2 linked regions of the Drosophila melanogaster genome follow. The protein of the gene in region 1 interacts with the protein of each later gene in a pairwise test. Each region holds a gene or a part of one and is shown on either strand. Other genes may lie near its edges.

Evidence for each region.
Region 2: the proteins of DCTN3-p24 (region 1) and CG15705 interact in a two-hybrid assay, tested with the Drosophila melanogaster proteins (one large-scale study listed by BioGRID).

The regions. Positions count from the first base shown.
Region 1 is NT_033778.4:23,060,876-23,064,762, reverse strand, and holds DCTN3-p24 (dynactin 3, p24 subunit), read left to right. Parts: upstream 1-2,169; 5' UTR 2,170-2,252; coding exon 2,253-2,831; 3' UTR 2,832-3,343; downstream 3,344-3,887. Other genes in the region: CG9890 (uncharacterized protein), read left to right, coding at 542-788, 843-1,954; Fatp2 (fatty acid transport protein 2), read right to left, coding at 3,506-3,887.
Region 2 is NT_033778.4:16,278,880-16,282,156, forward strand, and holds CG15705 (uncharacterized protein), read left to right. Parts: upstream 1-2,070; 5' UTR 2,071-2,142; coding exon 2,143-2,424; intron 2,425-2,639; coding exon 2,640-2,672; 3' UTR 2,673-2,750; downstream 2,751-3,277. Other genes in the region: prim (primacord), read left to right, coding at 1,314-1,469; CG7755 (uncharacterized protein), read right to left, coding at 2,846-3,277.

The sequences.
Region 1 (3,887 bases):
ACCCAACTATCAGCTCCTTTTATACCCAGCAGCCGAAATGCCCTATGGTTACATGGCGAACATCTCAAGTTCGTCAACCCCAAAAAACAATCTAAAATATTACTAACTTAAGAATTTTTAACTATTGCCATAGTATAAGCATTGAATCACAGAGTTCCGAAAAAAACATTTTTAACCGATAAGATGCTGCTGATTCATCATAGTCTGTTGAAAACTTAACGAACAATGTATTTGTAAGTTTCAGAATTTTAATTCACAGATAAGTTACAAATATTTGAATCGTATAATATCCTATAAGGATATTAACATTTCCAGTACGTGTTGTCTACATCGAAAATACTGAATATCATTTTTTGATTATTTAGTCTTCATAAGACAGTTGTAAGTATTTATTTAATTTTTTTTGTGCATTAAATTAAATTCATTAAATTTTCAATTGTTTCCAGTGTACGTCATAATTAAGCTTATCTCGCAAACAGTATTTTGCCGCTAAGCACCTGCGGTCACACTTATTCGTGGAGCACCAGGAGAACGTAAACAAATGGAGCACGAGGTGGCTGTTTCAGGAGGGGATTCCTCGCTGGAGGAGATCACTGGCAGTTCGAAACTCAAGCCCTCCAAGAACACGGCCATCAAGTGCCTGAAATGCGACAAGGTGTACATATTTCCGTCAGATAAAGATGACTGCCTGGCGCATTTGTATATGGAGCACCGACTGGTCATCGCCGATGTGGAGGATATAGCGCTTCTGGAGGACTACCTCCAGTACTGGGAAAAGGAGTTTCACAGTGAGAGAATCAGCAACCCTACCCTGAAAATTTAATAATTGTTACCCATTTTAGCCCACGAATTCGAGCAATATTGCACCACAATGTTCCTGGATCAGCTGCCCGATGGCAAGTACGCCAAGAACGAAAAGTACTACCTGCTGTGTGACATCCTGCCCCAGGACTACGAGCTGCGGCGAAGGTTGAAGGAGAAGCGCCTAAGTGAAGCCCTGGAGCGACATCAGTTCGAGCTAACCGACCGCACCTTCTCCAAGGAGTGCCTTTTCTGCAGGGCCATCATCAAGGGATTGAGGGCGGACTATCTGGACCATCTGTTTGACAAGCACTTTCTGTTGGTCGGCAAGCCCGAGAAGCTGGTGTATGTGGACGAACTGCTGGATCACCTGGAGGAGAACTTGAATCGGTTAATGTGCCTCTACTGCGAGAAGATCTTCAGGGATCGGCCCACGCTCAAGGAACACATGCGCAAGAAGGGCCACAAGCGGATCAATCCGAACCGAAGGGAGTACGACAAGTACTTCCTTATCAACTACAATCGTGTACCAACGGCCCCCACGCCCCGGAAACAGCACCTCCAAAAGCGAAGACGGGAAACGGCATCCGTGTCCACAGTTGCTGATCCTGAAACCGGCAGCGTGGACTTCGACAAGCACTTCGCTCGCCCTGATTCGGATGGCGAACACGATTCGGACTGGTCGGATTGGGCGGCAGATGGTGAGCCTAGCTCCATTAAGTGCCTGTTTTGCCACCATCTCGGCGACAACTTCACCGCCCTCAAGAAGCACATGCACGAGGTTCATCGCTTGGATTTCGAGAAGGCCACCAGCTCTCTGAACTTCTACCAACGCGTCAAGGTGGTCAACTACCTGCGCCGCCAAATGTGCCTGCTGCGCTGCGTGACCTGCGATCTGCAGTTCGACGAGGAGGAGCTGCTCGTGGAGCACATGGCACAAGAGTCGCACCACGGAATCGGCGATAAGGAGAGCTGGGACAAGCCCGAGTTCTTCTTCCCGTACATCGAGAACGATGGTCTGCTGTGTGTGCTGGATGATTCCGGAGGCGATGACCCGGACGTCGATACGGTGCGCATCATCTCCGAGGATAGTCTGGCGCAGATCAACAAGGATGCGGAGCGGTTGTCCCTCGAGAATTTTAAGCTGTTGTAACTGAGATTTTTGTATTGTACAGTTTACGTTTAAAAGAAACTAAGTAAATAGCAATGGAATTTAAGTGTGTACTATATTTATAGATACGTATGCACCAAAAACTTTATGCAGAGGAGCTAAATATTTTATTTAAATACCATATTTTTTAGTCCGCATAAGGGTTAATTCGTTCTGCTTAGCGAGTACAAGAACCTTGCCACCAAGCTAACGTTGCCACCTTTTCGTTGGACATCGATTGTTTTGCAGACTGACATCATTCCCATCAAAACGAACAAAATAAAGAGAAATTCAGCGAAAAATGGAGGCACTGGACATTCTGGAGAAGCGCATCGATGCCCTGACACGAGTCCTGGGTCCGGTCCAGGACTCTGAGGTGGGCGAGGGCGTGGTCGACGCCCTGTGCTCGGCACACGCCATCCTGGGCGAAGCAACCACAGGAAGTGCTGCACTGCAGCAGTGCGTGAAGAGATCTGACGAGCTGGAGAAGTACCTGGACCCCAACTTCCTGGAGGAGCACCAGCAGGTGCGCTCCAAGGAGGTGTACCTGCAAGCCGTGGCCCCCGAGCTGCACACGCAGGCCGAGCAGCTGGAGAGGATTAAGCAGCTGGAACCGGCCCTGGGCGCGGAGTACTTCCGCAGCATTCCCGCCGAGTGTCTGGAGCAGCTAAAGGGCATAACGCAGAACAACGGGGAGTACGCGCAGCAGAGCGAACTTATCGAGGAGAGTCTGGTCCTGGCCATGAAGCGATATGGCGAGATCCAGGCGGGACTGCTGAGCTCCCTGGATGCCATGAGCGAGCGCTTGGACCAGGTAGAGGAGCGCATGGAGCAGAGGAAGCGTGCAGAGTTGAGCAAGGATGTGCCGCCCAAGGATTGAGCGGATATAGATCCAAAGACTGCTGAAAGTATTTTATACGACCCCGTTTCCAAATCCGTTCACCTGAAAATCTGGTTCCACTTAAGCTGAAGGCATCAGTTGCTCAAGCAATGGATGTAACCTAGGTTCTATTGAAAAGTGTAATCGTAGCTAAAGCCATCCCGATTTGATTGGAACTGTTTAAGGAAGCCGGGATATTAGATTTTCTAACTACTCCAACGTAAAGTGGCTAATGATGCTCTTTCAATTGTAAGTTTCATTTTTAAAAACTATTTAACTAAGCACAATAAACTAAATTACAAATCTAATGAAAACCAATCAAAATCCTGTCTTACAGAAGGAAAATGCTATAATCACATAATAGAGCACAATATGGATTTATCATTGGCTGAATTTTATTTTTATTATCTATACAATGTATACAATACGATGTGACACTTATGTATGTAGGAATTGTAGAAGGAAATAGTTACAAAATAATAATTTACCCGCGGAAACGCTCTTTCAACAGTAAATTTCCAATGCTAAAGTTTATATTGTCCGGACAATAAGAAACTTAGCCAGAATTAAAAGTAGTTGGCGCACCACAAGCCGAATCCAAAGGATATCCTCTTCACCAACATACAAGGCACAGTCTTGACTTTTCTTCTTCCCAAGAACAAAGTCCGGCGCTCCTAGAATCGCAGCTCGTTTCTAACTATCCTCTCGTATACGGATGGGGTGAGTGGAGCATACACGCCATCCGGTTGGGCGTAGAAGAGTTCATCGTCGATGATCTCCGGATTGAAGCCCTGCTGCTGAAGCTCCACCTTGCGCAACTTGAAGGTGCCCGTCAGGTCGATTTTGCGCAGGAATCTGAGAAACTGCGGCCTGGCGTAGTTGGGCAGGGATTTGGCCAGTTCCACGCCCAGCTGGCTGACGTTGACCTCCCGAGTGGGATCGTAGATGGCTGCCATTCCTGCTCTGCCCTCAGTGTTGGGTATGCTTACGCCGTACACAATCACATCCTTGTAGCCAGCCAGATTACTCAACTGCGCCTCCACCTCGCTGGTGGAG
Region 2 (3,277 bases), 6.8 Mb from region 1:
CTAGTGACCATATGCTGTACTCTGCTGTGCCGTGCTGAGCTGCACCGACCCGACTTTGACTTCGGTTAGGAACCAACATATGGTCGATGCCCATGGCACTCAGTGGTTGCCTTTGGTCCTGGAAATTTGAAGTCCTTGGCAGGCACACGACATTTGCCGTCTAGCCAGTTGTCGAATCAAACTATTAACTCGAATTGAACAGATCTTTCCTTTACTATTAAGTGGCTATGAAAAATAGTCTATTGATGCGTTTGATAATTGCCTTATGTTTCACAAAAATATCTTACTATTACTATAACCATACCATATATATTATGTTTTGTTTCACTACCAAATATGTCTTCTTTTCATAAAGCGAATCGCCAATTATTCAGTGTAAAACATGCTTCGTAAATATGTTGAATAAAATTAATTTTGAAAGGAAGCATTTCATTTATTTCATTAACTAAAAAATAAGTTTTCCCAAAATTCATCAAATGTGTGCCAAATCTGACAAATACTTCTCCACTTTATGTGATTATTGTAAAGTCATTTATATTTTTTGCTGGCCGAATATCTTAAATATGATATTCCTTTGCTCTCAATATTCTTTACTTTTAATCCTTATCTCTGGCTCCTGTTGCTCTGGATTGAAGACCAGTTTGCGCATGTACCAACACTGCACATTGAGCGAAACTATCTTTTTTTTGGCATAAACACTTATTTTAAAGAAAAGCGTGCTTTCATGTTTTGAGTATACAATGATTATATTAGACACTACGTCTAACTAACTATTAGTATAAGTATTCGTTAAATCCTAAAAGATGTACAAAAATTTTTGGTTTACTTTTGGATAACCTTTTTACTCAACACTCATTCAGAACCGTTATAAGTTTATGGTTTAAACTGAAAATTTATATTTTAGGTGTTTTTTAATGTTTGAATATATTTTAAACATTTTTAATACTATATAATAGATAATTGTCTCCGTGTTATCATTACACTCCTCGCATGGAAATCTCTCTCTCTCTCGACGGCTTGTGCTCGGCTCCCATTCGGTTTTGTGGGGAAACACGAGACGAGGACGACAAGGAGCTTCGTGTCCTGATACAGCAACAGGATTAAATATATATGACGAGCCGAGCAGCGCAGTGTTATCATTTGAAGAAAAGAGTTGGTCGCCTGTGAACACGGTGAACTTAAGCATTAGAGGTTTAAGCTTATCAGGATATAGGAGTGCACCCAGCTTACACATCGATAGATAGCTCAGCTGAGCGCGAAAGTAACTGGAATAAGTAAGGGAATCACTGGTCTAGCGAAGCACCCAGCCACGGATGTGTCTGTACTTGGGAGTGGTGGAGCACCTGGTGGATGTGGTGGCCTACTGCATGTGCCGTGTCCTGGAGCTGTCCCTGTTCGCCTGCATGATGGTCTGCGGCTCCATGAGAGCCAAGCTGACCCACGGACCCACCAACGAGCTGGAGCAATGACCAGGACACCAGGAGTGCTGCTAAAAGGATGCGCGCGTTTGTGTGTTTGAGTGTGTTTCGACTAAAATTTAATAAAGGCAACTTTTCTAGTGGCGAATAAATTACAACTCATATGTGCTTGTAAACGATTGTCTTTTCCTCCCGTTGGCTGGCCCTTTGGAATTGAGCCATAACTCAAGATGGCCCACGGCAAGGATGTGGCCAAAGGGACTGGCTGTTTATCCTTCAGCTTCCATTGTTGGATTTTGTTTTTGTGCGGCGTACTCCGTTCATGGTACTTATTAGCCCTGAAGGGGATTATATGGGCAGTAATACAATGCCCATTTGCATGATGATAAAGTATCGACTGGGGGGGCCTTCCATGCCCACATGCTGGGCAATTGTGTGTTGGGGCTTTTGTTTTTGGCGCCTGCAAATATGCTCCTTTTTATTTGGGGAGTAGCCCCCATCCATTTCATAGGATAGTCCTGCTTCGGTATTTATGTAGTTGTTTACAGCCTCCGGCTTGGAACATAAATCCATTCAAATTGTACGTGCAAATGGGAGGACATCATGTTATATTACACACACCCGCAGCAGGCACTTCGAATTTGAGTTTTGAGCAAGTACAATTCATGTTTTGATACATTTTTGATAGCTGAGCAACAAAATCATACCAAATTCCCCTCTGAACATGGACAGCCCAGTAAAACAGCGCCTAAAACCCAAGAAGCTGGACAAACATCCAGGAACTCAGAAGGTCGAGTTCAAAAAGGATATCATCGATGAGGTAGCGGATCAGTCGGTTGAATACGATTACATGAAGTATCCCAGCAATAAAGAGAAGGCAAAACTCCTGAAAGGCGTTAAACCATCGAAAAGTGTCACATTCAAGACGGTGGTGGAGCTGGTGACCTATTCGGAAAACTGGAAGATGAAGATGAGCGAGAGCAGGCTGCGCTCGGAGGATGAGCAGGTGTGGTTACGGATGCTAAAGTCCACTTTCCGATACTCGGGCACCACGTATTTCTGATGCATTTGGACAAGCCTATTAAAAATTTTAGTTTTACTAGAACAATTTAAATAAAATACTACTACTACTTTTTGATACGTTTTCCAATGCATCAGACTTATTCTTATTTTCAGTTTCTTATATTACAATCTAATCATTCTTTTAATCTTAAACTTTAGCTGAAGAGCTCCCAAAAATATCGCAACTACTGACAACTTTCCTTAAAATTATTGTTCGTTGTAAGCTAATAAATTGTTATGTGTTGATAAAAAAATATTTCGAGAAAAACTAAAAATAGTTGGTTTTTATTTTGGAAAAATAATGGTCACAGACAATTTAATGAGAGTTTTTTTTCCCCAATATCATATATTTTATGGCAGGATCTTTATTTACCCAATGCTCGGCATCGCAGCTGGTTGATGATGTTGCAAATGACATACTCGCCGGTATCCTGGCCACCGAACTCCTTGGTGCGAATGCCTTCGTCCATGGTGCGCTTCAGCTCGCACCACAGTGCATCGGCGCACTTATCGTGGCCCAGATGCTGGAAGAGATCCACAATGGTGGACACGATGCCGTATGCACTTAGATTGGCATAATTGGTCAGCGATAGTTTCGTCTGGAGCGGTTTGAAAACGGCATGGTGATCTCCGATCTCCACCGCACTGAAGAGATTAGCCCCGCCACAGACTCCACTGCAGATGGCGGATAGGAATGTGGCATAGCGTTCGCTGGCGAAGAGGCAATCGAAGTAGGTGGGCTCCGTCATCAGCCGGCTGATGGCCTCCTCCACCTCCATGAGCTCCAGCTCCAGGCA